Linked DNA regions of Callithrix jacchus. The protein of the gene in region 2 binds, or shares a complex with, the protein of the main gene of each other region. Links are inferred from orthologs where the notes say so. Each region holds a gene or a part of one and is shown on either strand. Other genes may lie near its edges.

Region 1 (4,790 bases), on a different chromosome or scaffold from region 2:
ATCTCCTGCCCAAATGCTCTGGGTTTGCTGGGCTTCTGTTCCTTCACCTCAGGGTTGATTGGGACACAGGTGTGCCCGCCACGGCCCACGGTGGGGAGCTGTTGGCCAGACTGTGGACTGTGGGTAACACCCCCCCAGAGCCACCAAGGAAGGAGAAATGTGCAGACCCCAGGCACAATTAGTGCCTGAAGTATAACTCGCTGCTTACTTAGTCCCATATAACCTTTCTATATAATCATATACTAATTTACTGCTTACTATATCTAGCTTATATATATAATCATACTTAGTTCCATATAATCTTTCTATATAATCATATAGGTATTGTAGTCAGAGCTGTACTGACACATTAAGGGCTGATTTATAGAATCCTTCTATATAACCATATAGTAGTTTATAGTAGAAGGAATGCCTACAGCAGTCACAGAACAGAAGCAGTACATGGGAAAACAGCCAGACCAGGACAAGAACCAAAGACCCAGGTGGCGTCCCTGCCTCAAAGGTCATACGCTGTATGGCAGGCTTGGAGCAAGAGCCTCTCCTCCTGATAAAGGAGTTGTAGCACCTTGCATCCAGTTCCTGTGGAAAGTAGGCCTCTGGCCTGAGATCCTGCAAATAATCGAGGGAGAAGAACCCCTCTGATGTGACTAGTCACAATGGCTGTACACCCCGTCAGCCTTTTCTCGCTTCTGTGTTAGCTCAAATCAGCCTCCCATAAATATCTTAAGAGAAGAGCACAAGTCTGTCAGCTCCCACTGCATTGGCTTACAGTATCTTACTATTAGAAATCCTTTGACTCTCCAGCCCCCAGATAAGAAGTGCCGCCACAACACCTGTTGCACACAGCCCACCTCCTTGCCACGGTAACCTAATGGGGGTGGACCCCTTTTCTGTACATGACCCTCTACTACTGCGCACGGCCCACCTCTCTGCCCAGATGACATAATGGGGTGGTCCTCTCGCTTGCGACTCACGTGATTATGTAGGCCCTATCACTAAGCCTATAGATAATGACCTAATTTACGACCCTTCCCCCTGCTTGTACCTAATAAATACAGACGCTTCTAAGCGTTCCGGCCTTCGCCTGCCTCCCCTCATAGGTGGCATGGCCCCATGAGTCCAGATACTCTTCACCAGTTCTTCAGTGTCCTGTCTCTTTACTTCTTGGATCCTGCACTTCAGCACAACATAAGGGACACCTCACAACCCTGTGGGGCCCAACAGCCCTACAGTGGACAAAGCTTGTACCTAGAGCTGGATCTCCTCGTGTGCAGGTGGGAGGCTCTCCAGATGGTTCTTCGCCAGCGGCCACATTTAGTTGGGGGTCAAGCAGTTCCGATCAGAGAATTCTAAATTTGAACTTGGTCTTTCAGGTTTTGGGAAGATGTGTTTGTCACGGTAGGAGAGAGAGAGAGACTATTCTCTCTGTAGACGGTGCTGAGCGGGAAGAAAGCCCACGGGAAGCTTAGACTGAAGCTGCAGGACCCTTTGGCTCCTCGGCCTCTGGACCTACAAAACCCAGAGTGGCGGCGAGCGCTGAGCCAATCAGGTGCTGCGCCTCGGCCGGCCGTGCGGGGGGTGTGGCACCGTGTAAGCGGAAACCACGCCTCTCTACGCGGGGGGCGGGGCACGTGTCTCGCGCACCTTGGGCAGTGCCCGGCGGAACCACGCCTTTTCCGCTAGCCGCGCGGCCTGGGCTTCCCTCGTGTTTAAAAGAGCTCTTGTGGCTGCTGCTATCTTAACTCCTGTGCTTGGAGGCCAGACAGTCGAGATGGCGGCAGAGGTGTTGCCGAGTGCGAAGTGGCTGTATTGTGGGGCGCCCGCTGGAAGCCAGAGAGCTGTACTGGGTAAAGACGGCGGATCTGGAGCAGAGCTCCTCTAACCCTCTCCCCTTTCGTCTCGGTGCCTCAGCTGCCCTCTCGCCCTCTGTTGGGCCCCTCCCAGCGGGGCCAGGACCCCACTAGTCTCCACCATTCTCTTGGGCTCGGTCAGGGCTCCCCTCTGAAACTGCCGTCTTTCTGTCACTACCTCCCACCGGATAGGAATATCCCAGGCACCCGCTCTCCAGGACTGTGTCCAGGACCCTGCTGTCCCCTCACCCACCAGGTCTCCCACCTCCCCCATTTCCCTCTCTTCACTGGGCAGGGGTTCTTTCTGTCACTTTAGGTGTGGACCAGGCCTTTGCTGCCAGGCTCCCTCGCCCAGACATTCATTCCCTCTTGTCACAGCCCCTCCCCAGGGTTCTCACACCTCCCTACCCTCTCTTCTCAGCTGGCCCGGATCTCCTCCATTTCCCTTGAGGTCAGGACCCAAGCTTCCTTGCCATCCCCATTCCGACACTCCCTCCCTCCCAGTGACAGTCTAGTCCCGCCATACATTATGTGTTCTTCTGCTCTCATCTTATTCTTGGGCTACACTCTTACAGTCCAGTTCTCCAACGGGAGGCTGCAGAGTCCAGGCAACATGCGCTTTACCTTGTATGAGAACAAAGATTCCACCAACCCCAGGAAGAGGAATCAACGGATCCTGGTAAGTGCATTAGTTGCCAGGTGCCTCCACCCTGGGAGTGTGTGGATATGGGAAGGAGTGAGGGGAGGAAAAAGGGAGTAGCAAAAGGACCTTTGAAGAACTCTGATGCCCAGCAACTTGGGATGTGGGGACAAACTCCATCTTTCATTCATTCATTTGTTCTTTCAACAAGCATTTATGGAACCCCCTCCGTTCCCTGTGCTGCAAGCTTCTAGGGAAACAGCCAAATCAGGCCTGGCCCCACTCGGAGGAAGTTCGTACTCTAGAGCAGGGTTTCTCAACCTCAGGACTATTGACATTTTGGGCCAATAATTGTTCATTGTGGGGACAGTATCCCTGGTCTCTACGCACTAGCACTAGAGTGGATTTCCCTGGATTGAGAAGCTCAGCTCTAGAGAGATGAGAACTGGCTGTGAGAGACACTTTTACACAAAGCTCTGAGGCCACGTGGGAAGAGTACAGAGCAGAGTGAGCTCAGTGGGAGGAGAGGTCTCTGCCAGAATGCCTTCCTTGGGGAGGGCATGTTGGAGCTGAACCTCGAAGAACGAAATGAGAATTTGGCGGTCAAGGTTTGATGTTCCAAGTGGAAAGTATAGTGAGGATAAATGCAGAGAAGCAGGAAAGCTTGCTTATGATTGGGAAGTGAGTCAGCCATGGTCTTGAGTGTATATAAAGAATAGTCATGGGAGAGATGGGCAAAGAAGATCAAAAAGGGCTTGGACTTTGGGCCAAAGAGAGATTGCTGACAGAATCACTTTGTTGCATACCTCTAAGTGCTAGAAGCCCAGGGCCTCTCTCTCAAGTCCTGTGGTAGAATTCCCCCAAGAGCTTTTCATACCATTTAGAAGCTAGCAATATCTGAGGCTTCTCTTTCAAAAGTCATCTTGCTTTCCCTCCAGGGACATCCCGTATTGCCTTAGAGATAGTGGGGCTGGATCATCTGCCAGAGATGAACTAGTTCTAATCCATTGTGGGTCTGGATTCTAAAGCTTCAGCAAATGTAGAAAAGAGAGATGATGCTTAATACCTTTCAACATTGGTTGTAAATGGAGTTTCCCCTCTCTGCATTATAGGCAGCTGAAACAGATAGGCTTTCCTATGTGGGAAACAATTTTGGGACTGGAGCCCTCAAATGCAACACTTTGTGCAGGTAATGGCAGGGGAAGGGACAGTGGGAAGGGAGTGGTGGCAGCATTGGCACTGCTGTTTCCAGTCTGTTTTAGGGGCAGTAGAAGAAATCTAGAGAGGTTTACTAGATGATCCCTGTGTTCTTCGTAGACCCAGAGCCTTCCCCTCCCAGCCTATAGACATTACTATAAAGAAAAGAGAACTTAAATTTCCTAAAAACCTCATTCATTTGTAACCTTGTTTATTTATAGCTGTCTTATTCCAAAAGGCAGCTCTCTCCATTAATTTGGAATGTGTGACTAGGTCAAAGCTTGTGTGAAGTTTACCTGGGAACTAATGACAGGTAAAGAACTTGGTAGTGTTGAAGGATCTGGGCTGGGAAAGAGGAACCTGGGATTCCTGTCCAGCTGTGCTGCTGATTGACTGAGTGGCTGGGCAACTCTGCCCATCACTAACCCCTAGTCTTCTCCTCTGTACAATGAAGATTGTCCAGCCAGAACTGTGTAACTCTCGGGTGCTGGCGTGATGAAGACAGGGCCCCGTGATGGCACCCAGCGATGAAACACAAACCAGGCCCTTTCAGAGCCCTGCTAAACCATACTCCAGTAGAGGTCAGATTGGTGTATACATGCTCTGAACTATAACCTGCACTCTCCCCTCTCAAAGATGCTCTAGTTCGGATTGATCTCCTCCGCATTTACTTGGTTTTGCCACCGTAAAACTGGTGTGCCATAAATTCTAGTGTAATTCTAGATTCCTACACCCCAAAAGAGCTTTTCATTATTGTACAGCAGCAAGCCCAAATGTGATCAACTACCAGAATTACCTGGTAGCTTTTTTTTTTCCCCCAGGACTACCTCATGTCCCCCGATCCCATCCCATCCCATCCTTTCCTTTTCCCTCTCCCTGCAGAGAATTGCTTTGGGATAGAGGGAAGGGGAGATTATTGTTACCCATGAGTAGGTGATACATTCCTCAGGTGTGCGGGCAGAGAGAAGGTTGACAACTTTTAAACAGGAAAAGGGCTAGGCGCAGTGGCTCACACCTGTAATCCCAGCACTCCTGACCTGAGGTCAGGAGTTCGAGACCAGCCTGGCTGACATGGTAAAACCCTATCTCTACTAAAAATACAA
Region 2 (4,090 bases):
TTTAGTCAGTGAGTGCATTCACACAGAACCTACAAATAATGAGGATCAACCACATGTCTGAATACAGGCCACTTGCTTTTTATCATTAACACTATGACCAAGATTTGATATGGTCTTTATATAAAACTCTTAAGCAAATTTCCAAACCTGGTGAAAGCTAGGATTTTTGATTCCCTTACTGTTAAATGAATACACAAAAAGAGACCACGCAAGATGCCAAAACTAGGAACTATAAACATGCAGAAAACAGTACAGCCGGACAGTCACACCATTCCACAAGTGGTACCACGGGCCAAGGGTGGATACGGTACGCACTTACCTTCAGAAACATAAGGAAGAGCTGACCCGGTGTAAGGACTTCTTGGTTCACTAAACTATCAGGATTGTCCTCCATGCACTCTCCTTTGGCTAAAGCAAAGAGCTTTCGTGTCATAAGACAAAGCATATAAAACTTTTCAGTATTGGATTTCAAGTGGATACAGATGCACTGGCTGTCAAAATAGAAAAAAAGAAAGCTTAAAACAATCTAGTTGGTAATACTACTTAATGCTCTATTAACCAAGACCGCTAATTCATGCTTACTTAACTTTAATTAAATAAAATTAAGCATTCAGTTTTTGACCTGCACTGGCCACATTTGAAGTGCTCATCATGCGGCGTGTGTCTGCGTACTGGACAGCACTGGTATGGAGCTGGCTCCTTTAGTAATTACACAGTGGTTATATAAGACAAAGTCCTTGCTTTGAAGAAATAAAGACACAAGGCCTGCAACTTTCAAACAGTACAGAAAGAAAAATGTACATCTGGGTATACAGCAAGTAAAAAAGCAAATGTAAGTTAATGAAATGTTCACAATTTGTGAATATGAGTCCAATGTACTATTTGGACATTATTCTGGATGTCAGAAATGATTTCAAAATAAAAGTTGGGACAATAAAATAAAACACAACTACTAAAAAAATAAAGGTGAGAACAGCCACAAAATCAAAGGCAGCCCCCAGCTAGCAAGGACCAGAATTCTACCCCAAGATCCATTCTCATTCCCAGATGACTCACCCACCCAAACTGCAACGAATACAAAGAACCACTGACAGCCCTCTGCCCCTTCGGAAACAGTTCAGGCAAAGCACACATACTTAAACAGGAACTCCGCAGCTTGCTCATTTGGGTACCAGTCAGGAACATTGAGCTTTACTCTGAAGCATTCACCTAGATAGTTAAGGACCTGTTTCTGTGTGGAACAACCCTCTTCCATTACAATCCTTAACATCTGAGAAACAGAGTTTCTAAAGAAAGAATCATCCTCTTTTCCTTTGATGAGCTCCTGAAAGATCTGATAATCGGAAAAGCTGACAAGTGCCTAGAACAGAAAATAAAAGGTTTTCTTTTTAATTTCTCACTAATAACTAAAATATTTCATCTATTCAGTAACAATTATCTTCTCTTTTTTAATACCCAAGGAAATTAGCACTCTGCTAATGCTGAACCAAAGAAAACTCTAAATAAAGCATTCTTTGTATGATAGACAGACAGCAATATGGCCTCCAGGCTCTTCACCTCTTGGTGTTCATAAACGTGTAGTTTCCTCACATGCTGAATCAAGGCTGGACTGCTTGACCAAGAGAATGTGGTGGAAAAGATGATGGGAGACTCCAGGGCTAGGTCACAAAGGGCATTGCAGCTTTTGCCTTCTGCATCTTCTGCTCTGTTCTCTCAGCTAACTACGTGGAAGAAGACAGCTGTCTCAAACAGCCTATAGAAAGGGCCATATAGACAGCAACCCCATGAGAAGACCACCTGCCAACAACCAGCACTGATTTGCCAACCATGTGAGTGAGCCACCTTGGAAGTCCTCAAAATGACTGCAGTCCTGTCTGACATCTCAATGCAACTTCCTGAGACCCCGGTTCACAGATGTCCAGCCAAAGCACTCTCAAACTCCTGACCCACAGAAACTGTGAGACAGAAATGTTTATTGATGTTTTAAGGTATTGAATTTTGAGGTAATCTGTTTTGGAGCAGTAGATAACTAGTATGTTATTTTAATAAGAAGAATACATCCCATCTGCACAGGATACTACCTTCAATGAATTCTTCATAACAAAAGAATGCATTCATTAAGTCATACCTTAAGTGCAAATCCCAAAGGAAGAAAAAACAGTTCTTTCCGGTAAATAAAGTTCAACATAACAGTGCCATTTTCCAAGTAGTGGAGGTTCATATTGACAGCAGAATGTTCTTCTTTCACACAGTGCATTGAAACTCCTATTGAACCGAACAACAAAAAAATCAGAAACTCAGTGATTCTATAATTGCTTCAATCATTTTTTTCCTGAACAATCTTACCTCCTTACACACAATTAAAGCCAAATCATTAAGTTTAGCCAAGAATGGCAATCAAAAATGTTTCTAAAACTTAGCAAATGTCCTCTTGCATGCAAAATCTACCCAGATTGAGAAACACTACTGTAAAATAACTGAAGCTATGAATTTAAGCAAACTTCAAAGTTTTCCTCCAGGACAGAGTCCACATCTTTTAGCACTTTATATCCCTCTTAAACTGTGGAGTCTGGTCAAGACACGGTGTTTGATCTAATAGTGCCAATGGAGAAAAGTAGAATTTTAGATTTTAAGTTTATTTCAGTTTCAGGCAAAGACTGCTAAGACATACCACTATCAACTCAGGCAAAAGAAAATGACTAGACATTCTGACATGCTCTTTTTCTAGGTACAGTACGTATTACTACAATTAAAATCTGATTTTTAGCTCAACTATCAGGACAAATTGTTTAACTTTCAAGGCAGCTCAAGAATGCAACATGCTATCTTAAGCACTGTCACAGAGAGTGCTCAAACAGAGGCCAGGTGGCTGTCAGACAGAGACCCTGAGGGGTGTGCCACAGTGGCCTGAACCTGAAGACATCTAAGACCCACATTCACCTATGGCCAAGGCAGACTAGCCTTCATCTTCATAAGCAATAACAAAAATACACATGCTCTTTCAGTTTGCACAGGTAAAACATAATAGCAGGTTTTCTACCGTGAAATTTTTGTATTTTTTAAAATGCTTATAATTGATAAAAATCATATATATTCAAAGTGGACAATACCTTGAATATACATATACATGTAATGATTTCCACAATCAAACTGATAAAAACATCAATCACCACCCATAGTTATCATTTGTATGTATGCACGTGTGTGTGGTTGAGACACCTAAAATTTACTCATCAAATTTTAAGTAAGCAATACGGTATTACTGTCGTCACCAGGCTGTACATCAGATCCCCAGAACTTACTCGTCTTGTAACTGCAAGTTTGTATCCTCTGACTAACATCTCTCCATTTCTTCTTCCATCCCCATTACGAAAACTTAACACAGGAATGCTCAGTAGAAAAAAACAAAAAAAAACCCAAAAAACAAAAGAAAGCCCAGGCATGGTGGCTTACACATGTAATCTCAGCACTTTGGCAGGCTGAGGCGGAAGGACTGCTTGAGCCCAAGAGTTCGAGATCAGCCTGGCAACATGGTGAAACTCCATCTCTACAAAATTAGCCAGGCATGGTGGCACATGCCTGTGGTCCCAGCTACTTGGAAGGCTGGGGTGGGAGGATCACCTGAGCCTGTGAAGGTCGAGGCCATGGCGAGTTGTGATCACACCACTCTGCACTCCAGCCTGGGTGCCAGAGTGAGACTCTATCTCAGGAAAAATAAGAAAAGAAAGAAAAAAGAAAATTATCAAAGACTATTTAAATGCATCTACTTAAAAAAAAAAGGTTTTAAATTTTCCTTAAAAAACATTCTAGTAATCTCCAGAACTTACCATACTGAGTATAACCAGGCCCTCTGGTTTTCCATTTTGGTCTTATCATTGCAATGGGAAAATTTCTCCGAGGCATAATCAACATTCGGATGACCTTTTCAATGCCATTGATTATAAAATAGCCCCCCATTTCCTACCAAAGAGATAAATTACAATTTGTTAAACAAAGATACATGACTGTAAACATGAACCTCATTCCTAGCCCAAGGCAGTACAACACACAGAACAGGAGCACAGAGGTGAAAAGTACTACTGATCCTTTG
Region 3 (4,583 bases), on a different chromosome or scaffold from region 2:
CTCCACATCAAAGTAGGGTCTCAGGATGTCGATGTTGGCATACAAGCTGAAGGCCCTGGAGGCTTGTCTCTTCCCAGCCTGCCACATCTGAAGGAAGATGGGCATAGGTATTGTGGAACTCTTGGCATTAGACCCTGTTGCCTATTTTCCATTTGATTTCTACCAGGACAACCTGGGGCGACACACCAATACCAACTCCAGGACATGGGACACACCTAGGTTTACTTTTCCACCTGCAGGGGATTCCATCTTGCTTACCTGATCAGCCACCTGCCGGCTCAGCTGTCCCTTAAAGCCCTTCATGCCCAGGAACTCTCCATCCTCTTCTTCAGCAGCAGCCGCATCAGCGTCTGCATCAGCGTCTACTTCTTCCTCGCGCAGGCGCTGATGCAGTTCACCCATATCCTCGAAGCTAGAGCCTGAGGTATCATCCATGTTCTCCATGTCAATCACAGCTGAGCCTCCGCCCTGTTAAGACAATGGCTCCTAGAGTGCAGGACTTTTCTGTTCCATCCATTAAGTCCTCTGCTCATCCCAGGGCTTAGGGCTTTGTTCTTCCACTGCTGAGGATACGGCTTGGAATCACTACAGATCATGCCACTCCATTCCCCCTCATTTGCTCTCAGAACGCTTGATTTATAGCTTTGGCTATCTTTTCTAGCCTGGGAAACCAACTAGTCTTCCATTCATGTCTTTCTCCTACCTTACCTATCAAAGACTAAAAGCTTGAAAAAGAATCCATTTCTGTCTTTCCAAAGCCCCAAACAAAACTATGAACACAGTATGTTTTCGGCGAGTGCCAGTGAATCCCACCCAACCCCACTCCAGGCCTGACCCCAACCAACCTCCTAACTTGTTCCAAGAATACGTTCTTCCTAACGCCTCGGGCGGGCCCAGAGACCCGAGATCCTCAGGCTGGAGTAGTAGACTAGTCTGGCCCTTTCAGGTCAATGTTAACTCCACTGACTTTTGTGTGCAAGACCCAAAGAAGGCAGTTTTGCAAATGGAGTGAACTTCCAGGCCCCGAGGGAGAATCCCCAAGACACTTCTGGACATCGCCGGCCCTCGGGTTGCTGGCATCTGGTGCCTTGGGGCCATTACCTGGATGTTTTCTTCGAACCCTCCCCATTCCGGGCCAGCTCCGTTTCGGGCGCCGCCCGTCGGCGCCGCTGTAGTTGCCATGCCCTTTGAGGGCTCCCGTCGCTGAAGCCCGCGATAGCCCCGCGCGCAGGGAAGTGTGCGAGATGTGAGTCCCAAGAAGGGAGAGGTCCCAGGTCGCGGAGAGGTGGGATCAGCCGGAACACAAAAAGGAGAAACCCGGATGTTTGGACAAAACCAACTTCCGGAAATTGGGGACGTGGATGAAGGTGGAGCAAAGTCTCGCGATATTTAAGATTCCAGGAGGCGGTGCGTTGCCACGGAGATGGAGCAGTGCTGCTAGAACGCACGCGCCAGCTAGAGCCTGTAGTCTTTTGGAGAGATTGAACATGGCGGCTACTCAGGCCGTGGAAGAAATGCGGAGCCGCGTGGTTCTAGGAGAGTTTGGGGTTCGCAATGTAAGACTTGTGTCCTTGAGCTCAGGCGGGAGGAATGAGAGCGGAACAGGGATGGGTCTTGGGATTGGCGTGGGGATAGCCGTAGGCTCACTGTCCATTTGTGGACAAACTCATCCCTTTGCTCTAGGTCCATACCACTGACTTTCCCGGTAACTATTCCGGTTATGATGATGCCTGGGACCAGGAACGCTTCGAGAAGGTCAGTGGGGCCAGAGTTGTCCGGGGATTGTTAGGAGGGCCAGACCCTGTGGTCTCAGCAGCATGTGTCTGTCTCAGTAGCTGCTCTTGGGGGTCGCTCCGTTTGTAAGTTTTGTTGAGCAATGTGGTAGACCTCCGTTTACAGGCCAAGTTAGACACAGTTTCTACCCAGTTCTGCAAACAAGATGTTCAGTCTTGTTGAGGAATGGTGCGTATAAACAAGTGAATCTAGTTTAATATGGTAAAGGTGGTTGATAGCTGTGAAGATGGCAGGATTCGTGTGGGGAACATTATGCTGAGACCAGGAAGAGGGGCCCAGAGGTACTTAACATTTCTTGAGGAGGGAAGATCTGAATTGAGCTTTGAACGGTAAGTAAAGAACAGGAGTTAAATTAGGAAGGCTTTGAGTTTCAGGTCAGTGAAGTTGAGGATATACAGGTTTTGTGTGTATTTAGTCTATTATTGTTTCACTTAGCTTAAAATAAGGATTAAAATTGCATTTAAATAGATCACTGAATGTTACTGTTTATGCAACTGAACTGTGTGTGCAGTTTATAAAACATGATCTATAAATCTGTGCTTGGGAAAATTTTACTTTTTTTAACCTGTTGATACAGGAATAAAGTATGAACAATGAAAAAGGCTAATGCTTGAAAAAAAGTTATGGTGTGAATTGTGCTCCGGGAATGTCCAAGCAGTTCTGGCACTAGTGGTAGGCAAGATTGAAGTGTGTCTTGGGCACTGTTGATGATAGGGAGCTTGAATAGTTAAGCAGACATGATTAGATTTGCAACCCTGATAGCTGGGAGGGAATGAGTTTGAAGAGGATCGTATGGAGCAGGCAGATCTGTTGTAAGGGAAGCTGAGGTTGAAGGTATGAACTAAGACTGACGGTAGAAAGAGAGCAAAGGAAGAAAGAAGGTAAATTTGTGATTGCTTTGGTAAAGGCTGTTGGGGTAGCATAAAATGACTTTTTGACTTGGGAACTGCTTTGATGCATTGTGGTATCATTTACTGAGAGAAGAAATGGGTCTGGGGAAGAGGAATGATGATACGTCGTTTCCTGCATTTGGAGAAATCTAGCAGGCTAGAAGACTGCATATTTGAAATGAGATCAGAAGGGAGGTAAAATTTTGGGAGGTGTCAGCACAGATAGTTGCTAAAACCGTTGTTAGTGTGGTTAAGGTCACCTGGGAGAGAGACCAGAACCTGGTAGATTTAGAGATGGGTGGACGTTGTTGATCATCAGAGAAGGAAGAATGGAGCTCAGAAGCCAGGAGAATAGTTCAAAAAAGGAGGGGATTTTTTTTTTTTTTTTTTGAGATGGAGTCTCTGTTGCTCAGGCTGGAGTGCAGTGGCAGGATATCAGCTCACTGCAACCTCTGCCTCTTGGATTCAGGCAGCTCTCCTGTCTCAGCCTCCTGAGTAGCTGGTATTACAGGTGCACACCACCATGGCCGGCTAGTTTTTTGTATTTCTAGTAAAGATGAGGTTTCACCATGCCAGTCTCGAACTCCTGACCTCGTGATCCAACCACCTTGGCCTTCCAAAATGCTGGGATTACAGGCATGAGCCATTGCGCCTTTCCAGGAGGGGATTTTTTTAATCAATGCCAGGCGTAACAGACGTCTAGTAAAAGGACTGTCTAGTGTCAGCATGACTAAGCAGTGAGGTGGGTTTCTGTTCTTAGGACAATAGCTTCTGTGGATGGTTTGGTTGGGAGCCATATTGGATAGGGTTTTAATGAATGGAAGACAAAAAATGGACACTTTTCATGAACCTAAAGCAAGCACTGGACGAGAAAGAACATTTAATAAGGGACGTCTGGGCAAAGGGTGGTTTTTGGATGAGTGGATAATACTTGGAATCATCTGAGGGGGAGGTATGAAGAGCTATTACAAAGAGAGCAGGCTTCACTTAATCTTTTTCCTGTCCCTCTAGAATTTCCGTGTGGATGTGGTACACATGGATGAAAACTCACTGGAGTTTGACATGGTGGGAATTGATGCATCCATTGCCAATGCTTTTCGACGAATTCTGTTAGCTGAGGTATTGGCAGGCATGGTGACAAGGTTGGATTTGCTTTGGGAACTGCACTGACACTTGGAGTGTCACTTGGAGAATTAAGTGTCTCAAGCTGTCCTTCCCTTCTTATTTTTCCTGGAGTTTTGCTGGCTAAGGATTTTACCTTCTCATTCTTTGTAAACTTCTCATTAAACATTCTAGGAAGAGAGATAGCTCCCTACCTCTGGAGGTTGGAGTTTGTGGGGATAGGTAGGGGGTCTATTGGGTTTTTGCTGATAAGTGATTTTTTCCTTGGGCAGGTGCCAACTATGGCTGTGGAGAAGGTCCTGGTGTACAACAACACATCTATTGTTCAGGATGAGATCCTTGCTCACCGTCTGGGGCTCATTCCCATTCATGCTGACCCCCGTCTTTTTGAGTATCGGAACCAAGGTGAGAAAATGAAATTTTGGGAGAAGTGGACTGTCTGGGTTTAAATCCTGGTTGACTGTGACATTGGGTAAGTATATTAGTGTTTTTCATCTGTGAGAACACTTGCCCTCTCTTCCCAAGTTTGCCAAGATAATTAAATGGGAAATATGTAAAGCATTCAGCATAGTGCTGGCACTCAGATATTTACTAGTTCTTAAGAGCTCTCTCCATTGGTGCAGGAGATGAAGAAGGCACAGAGATAGATACTCTACAGTTTCGTCTTCAAGTCAGATGTACTCGGAACCCCCATGCTGCTAAAGATTCCTCTGACCCCAACGAACTGTACATGAACCACAAAGGTAAGTAGTGGTAGAGTGAGGAAGAGGGCCCACC
Region 4 (4,887 bases), on a different chromosome or scaffold from region 2:
GCCCGGGAGACCGAGAGCAGAGTGCGGCGGGCCCGGAGCGGGCGCCGCAGGCGCAGCCTCCGGCTCCTGTCCCCTCCTCGGCGGGCGGGCCGAGGGTGGTGCCCTCTGCGCTGCTCCGCCCGCCAGCCCATCCGGAGGGGCCGGCCCAGCCAGGCCGGGGTCCGCGCGGGGCCTCCCGAGAGGCGGTAGGGGGCGCTGAGCAGTCTGGAGCCCGCGCCGGCTCCCTGCGGAGGCCGGGGAAGGAGAGGGGCGCCCGGGGCCGGGCAGGGGCGGGTCCGCGGGCACGTGGAGGGGCCGGGCCGGGTTGGCGGTTCCCTGCGTCCGGGCAGGAGGGGCTGCAGATGCCCGAGCTCCGCAGGGCTCAGGGATGGGGGTGCTGAGTGATCTACATCGGACGCCTCCGGGTCAGCCGGTTAGAAGCCGCTTCCCCTCTCCCCGTCCCAAGGGACTTGCAGCTCTGACAGGCCTGTCAGGGGTGAGCAGCAAAGCTGGGAGGATTCGGGGCGGATCGGGGCCGTCTTCCTTACTCCTTCCTTTCCCGGGGCTGCCCCAGGGAGGTGCACCCGGAGCAACCCGGCCTGCGGGGTGTGCGGGGGTGGAGGTTGGGAGGGCCCCGGAAGGGGTAGGCCGGAGGAGGGGAGCTCCACGGGCCGGGAGTCCACGCCCGGAACGCGGGCGTGGAGAGCAGAGGTCGCTTCTCCCTGGCTGGGCTCAAGGAGGAACCCGAGTCGCTGCTGCTGTCCCTCCGCTTTCGGGGAACGGTCTGCTGGTGCTCGGGGTTCTCTGTCAGGGGCCAGGGAAGGATAGAAAAGAGGGCGGAGCGCGCGCAGGGTGGACGGGCAGCTGAGCGACAGTGTGAGAGGAGCGGGGGCGGCGCCCAGGACGCGGACAGGGTGCGGGAGAGCCAGTAGTACCAGAAGGAAGGGCTATTTGGGAGGCAGAGGCGGGGCTCGGGGGGCGGGGGCAGTGCCCGGGGAGGGGGGGGGGCCCTGGGAGAGAAGCCGCCACCCAGGAGGAAGGGCCAGTGCGAGGGAAGAGCTGGTATTCAAGGGAGAGGGCAGTGCTAGGCCGAAGGGGTACGGAGGGGATCCGTGTCCAGTAAACGGGAACGCAGAGTACCAAGCTGGAGGGGGAGTGCCCAGGGGGCGGGAGCCAGGCTGAAGGGGCGGTGCGCGGGAAAACCAGGGCCTGGGGGAAGAGGGCAGTGTCGTGGGGTGCCGTATGAGGGGAGGGGACCATGCAGCCTTTCCATTTCTCCAAAGCGACGTCATGGCAAATTCCCAAACTGGACGGATCCGGCTCAGGTTACATCCAGAAGGGCCCAGCCGGCCCAGGCCGGCCCCGGCGTCCTTGGTGTCTCCTGGAGGGGCTGGGCACCTCTGGGGCGGGGTTCTTCTCCACCTGCCCTCGGCGAGGACTGTGCCCTTGGCGGGCACGAGGACCGGCGGGATAGGGCTAGGGCCTGGCCGCTCTGGGCCAAGGATCAAGGTCCCTGCCTGGGTTAGGCCCCCACGCATTCCAATCTTCTGGACTCAGACTCTGAAGAGCGCGCAGTAAAGCCCCAGCGTAGCAGAAGCCGCTCTACAGCCGCGGGAGGTTGGACCTATTGTTTCCCCGCCCTGGGCGGAGCCACCTGGCCGTGAGACCCGCCCTCAATGCCGAAGCCTCTCGGAAACAGTCTTTCGGGGAGGAAGTTAGGTAGCCCCGAGAGGAAGATTGTGGCGGAAGTGGTCGCGTTACCGCCTGTTTGTGCGCATGCGCTACTCTTGTCTAGCTGCCGCCTTTCTGGAGGTGCTTTTGCTCATCTCCCTTCTCCACGCGAGGGGGTGCGCGTACTCCCAGCCGTGGTCGCGCGTTAACCCCTTCTGCTGCTCTCCTGGCCCACTTGCGATGGCGGGCATCCTGTTTGAGGATATTTTCGATGTGAAGGATATTGACCCAGAGGGCAAGAAGTTTGACCGAGGTAAGTAAGGTACGAGGTTTGGAGGAAGACGCTAACCTCGCGGACATGTCCCTGGGCCCCATGCCCACCCAGCTCTTGTGGCCTGCTCCTACCAGCAGGTCCTGATGTAGGGACCTCCCTCAGGAAACACTTTATGAATGAGAAAACGGAGACTCAGCTCTCTGGCTTCACGCATGCCGTGCTGGGTGTCTGGATGGCCTTTTGTCATAGTGCTGGCAAACTCCTGAGCATCTTTATAATCGCTGCCTACTCTGTGCTAGACACTGTCTTGTGCGGCTCATACACCCTTTGCCTTACTTATTCTTAAGAGACCTCGGCCGGGCGCGATGACTCACGCCTGTAATCCCAGGACTTTGGGAGGCTGAGGCGGGTGGATCACTTGAGGTCAGGAGTTCGAGACCTGCCTGGCCATCATGGTGAAACCCTGTCTCTACTAAAAATACAAAAATGAGCCGGGTGTGGTGGTGGCGCGCCTGTAATCCCAGCTACTCGGTAGGCTGAGGCGGGAGAATCGCTTGAACCCAGGAGGCTAAAGTTGTGGTGAGCCAAGATCGAGCCACTACACTCCAGCCTGGGCGGCAGAGCCAGACTCCATTAAAAAAAAAAAAAAAATTATATATATATACGCTAAGCAGTTAACTAGTTAACTCTCAGAAAAGACTTCACTAAGCGCTAAAGATTCTGAGAGCGATACAAGAATATAGACTCTGAAGTTAGATTACTTGCTGTGCAGCCTTGGGTGAGTTACTCAAACTCTCAGAGAAAAACAGGGAAGGCACCACCCACCTCATGAAGACTCCTTTTTTTTTTTTTGAGATGGCGTCTCACTTTGTCACTCACACTGACTGGAGTGCAATGGTGTGATCTCGGCTTACTGCAACCTCTGCCTTCTGGATTCAAGCAATTCTCTTGCCTCAGCCTCCCAAGTAGCTGGGATTACAGGTGCCTGCCACCACACCCAGCTCGTTTTTGTATTTTTGGTAGAGATGGGGTTTCACCATGTTGGCCAGGCTGGTCTCCAACTCCTGACCTCCAGTGATCCACCTGCGTTAACCTCCCACAGTGCTGGGATGACAGGTGTGAGCCACCGCGCCTAGTCTCCATTTCTTTATTTTGTCATTGATCAATAATTTTCTCTTTGGTGTCTGTTTCTTTGCCTAGAGACTCAGATGTTTTTCAAGATGGATACCAGTCATTATACATCTTGATAACCCCCTCAGCACAGTGCCTAGCACAGAAAGAGGAAACCTTTGGATGATTCAATAACTTGCCCAGAGTCAGGTTCTCAGCCATCCAGGCAGGCCTAGAACCTGGATATTATTTGCTGCTGGAGTATCTTTAGTTGTTTTCTGGGGATTACGTTCACTTGCCACAGTTTTTCTCCTGATTTCCTCCTTGCATATCTGGGTCTGACTGAGCCTGCCTTAGAGGACATGAGAGACCAGTGGATGTAGGCTGGGTTAGATTGAGTATTCTGTTGCATACAATCCCACACTGTAGGATCTTCCCTGGGCCTGGCAATACCTCTCTTACTCTTTTTCCACTTTTCCCCAGTGTCTCGGCTACATTGTGAGAGTGAATCTTTCAAGATGGATCTCATCTTAGATGTAAACATTCAAATTTACCCTGTAGACTTGGGTAAGTATTGAACACAGACAATAATAAGAGGCTATTTGCTGCTTCAGCTATTCTTCACTCTCTGATATTGCTGTTATTTTTAGGTGACAAGTTCCGGTTGGTCATAGCTAGTACCTTGTATGAAGATGGCACCCTGGATGATGGTGAATATAACCCCACTGATGACAGGCCTTCCAGGTGAGGGAGTGGAGAAGGTGATACTTGAAATATGCCCTGAGGACTAAGTAGATAAGTGATATAGAAAGACTCTTCTGGCGGGGCACAGTGGTTCATGCCTGTAATCCCAGCACTTTGGGAGGTGGATCATGAGGTCAGGAGTTTGAGACCAGCCTGGGCAACATGGTGAAACCGCGTCTCTACTAAAATACAAAAAATTAATTGGGCATGGTGGTGGGCACCTGCATAGTCCCAGCTACTCAGGAGGCTGAGGCAGGAGAATTGCTTGAACCCAGGAAGCAGAGGTTGCAGTGAGCAGAGATTGGACCACTGAGTTCCAGGCTGGGCAACAGAACAAGACTCTGTCTCCAAAAAAAAGAAAAACGAAAGACTCTTCTTTAATTCCTAGAATAAATAATGATTAGCAGAATCTGAGTAACCTTAAGGAAATTTCTGCACTTAAGAATTCAAACAGACCAGGTACTATGGCTCACACATGTAATTCAAGCACTTTGGGAGGCTGAGTCAGGAGGATTGCTTGAGTCCAGGAGTTCAAGAGCAACCTGAGCAACATAGTGAAACCTCACTGCTACAAAAAAAAAAAAAAGCTGACCATGGTGGCATGTGCCTGTAGTTCCAGCTACCTGGGAAGCCAAGGTGGGAGGATTGCCTGAGCCAGGGAGATTGAGGCTGCAGTGAGCCACGATCATGCTACTGCACTCCAGCCTGAGCAACAGAGCAAGACCCTGTCTCAAAAAAAAAAAAAAGATAAAAAATTTCAAACAACCAGGTATTTATAACAGTGATTACATGCTTGTGAGTTGTAGCTTTTTGAAGGCTGAGAAGATGACCGCTCTGTGGGTCTTGTGTCTTGGGAGGGAGTTTGGTGTAATGGAAAGGCTTTGGCACCCCGCTCGAGTTGATTTCTGAGCTCTACCACTTACTTGCTAAGTAAGCTTGATCTCCTTCAGCCTGTTTCCTCATCAGTAAACTAGAGATGGTCCTGCCTAGCTCACAGAATTGCTGTGAGGACTAAATGGCGTCATGTTTATAATGTGCCTGTTGTTAAAATGCTGGCATCGAGTTACCAGTTACCATTTTTAAATGGCATCTTTTATATTGTTAATTAC

Evidence for each region. The genes of interacting proteins can lie anywhere in the genome.
Region 1: the proteins of POLR1B (region 2) and POLR1E are in contact, whole or in part, in a cryo-EM structure (PDB 8A43), measured with the Homo sapiens proteins. The link is inferred for Callithrix jacchus from reciprocal best matches to the Homo sapiens genes POLR1B and POLR1E. Residues at the interface, in NP_061887.2 of Homo sapiens: Lys254, Ser258, Phe259, Ser260, Tyr262, Gln263, Gln266, Ser295, Thr296, Gln297, Ser338, Thr340, Glu341, Ala532, Cys535, Pro541, Ile542, Asp543, Gly544; in NP_071935.1 of Homo sapiens: Gln27, Ser29, Asn30, Gly31, Tyr69, Thr76, Leu79, Lys80, Cys81, Leu84, Cys85, Met109, Gln110, Pro111, Leu112, Phe113.
Region 3: the proteins of POLR1B (region 2) and POLR1C are in contact, whole or in part, in a cryo-EM structure (PDB 7OBA), measured with the Homo sapiens proteins. The link is inferred for Callithrix jacchus from reciprocal best matches to the Homo sapiens genes POLR1B and POLR1C. Residues at the interface, in NP_061887.2 of Homo sapiens: Arg713, Gln715, Lys761, Ala762, Glu765, Arg766, Gly767, His770, Tyr774, Gly816, Val848, Arg872, Pro874, Glu900, Asp901, Phe904, Glu906, Gly908, Lys967, Gly970, Tyr971, Asn972, Phe973, Tyr974, Arg978, Tyr980, Ser981, Gly982, Ile983, Ser984; in NP_976035.1 of Homo sapiens: Ala70, Asn74, Arg77, Arg78, Leu81, Ala82, Gln102, Asp103, Glu104, Ile105, His108, Leu112, Lys220, Asp221, His222, Ala223, Thr230, Ser232, Tyr233, Arg234, Leu235, Asp281, Thr282, Phe283, Ser284, Glu286, Arg289, Arg301.
Region 4: POLR1B (region 2) and POLR2H share a complex: the UniProt entries of both Homo sapiens proteins name them as parts of the pol I pre-initiation complex. The link is inferred for Callithrix jacchus from reciprocal best matches to the Homo sapiens genes POLR1B and POLR2H.

The regions. Positions count from the first base shown.
Region 1 is NC_133502.1:144,458,146-144,462,935, forward strand, and holds the start of POLR1E (DNA-directed RNA polymerase I subunit RPA49), read left to right. Parts: upstream 1-1,671; 5' UTR 1,672-1,771; coding exon 1,772-1,847; intron 1,848-2,425; coding exon 2,426-2,529; intron 2,530-3,602; coding exon 3,603-3,679; intron 3,680-4,790. UniProt on the Homo sapiens protein: Component of RNA polymerase I (Pol I), a DNA-dependent RNA polymerase which synthesizes ribosomal RNA precursors using the four ribonucleoside triphosphates as substrates.
Region 2 is NC_133515.1:22,047,543-22,051,632, forward strand, and holds part of POLR1B (DNA-directed RNA polymerase I subunit RPA2), read right to left. Parts: intron 3,961-4,090; coding exon 3,828-3,960; intron 3,701-3,827; exon of another isoform or gene 3,303-3,700; intron 2,266-3,302; coding exon 2,129-2,265; intron 1,361-2,128; coding exon 1,137-1,360; intron 492-1,136; coding exon 320-491; intron 1-319. UniProt on the Homo sapiens protein: Catalytic core component of RNA polymerase I (Pol I), a DNA-dependent RNA polymerase which synthesizes ribosomal RNA precursors using the four ribonucleoside triphosphates as substrates.
Region 3 is NC_133505.1:51,998,478-52,003,060, forward strand, and holds the start of POLR1C (DNA-directed RNA polymerases I and III subunit RPAC1), read left to right. Parts: upstream 1-1,464; 5' UTR 1,465-1,487; coding exon 1,488-1,556; intron 1,557-1,683; coding exon 1,684-1,755; intron 1,756-3,695; coding exon 3,696-3,803; intron 3,804-4,078; coding exon 4,079-4,211; intron 4,212-4,429; coding exon 4,430-4,549; intron 4,550-4,583. Other genes in the region: protein YIPF3, read right to left, coding at 1-87, 259-468, 1,102-1,182. UniProt on the Homo sapiens protein: DNA-dependent RNA polymerase catalyzes the transcription of DNA into RNA using the four ribonucleoside triphosphates as substrates.
Region 4 is NC_133516.1:13,340,113-13,344,999, forward strand, and holds the start of POLR2H (DNA-directed RNA polymerases I, II, and III subunit RPABC3), read left to right. Parts: upstream 1-1,768; 5' UTR 1,769-1,890; coding exon 1,891-1,963; intron 1,964-3,517; coding exon 3,518-3,601; intron 3,602-3,684; coding exon 3,685-3,778; intron 3,779-4,887. UniProt on the Homo sapiens protein: DNA-dependent RNA polymerase catalyzes the transcription of DNA into RNA using the four ribonucleoside triphosphates as substrates.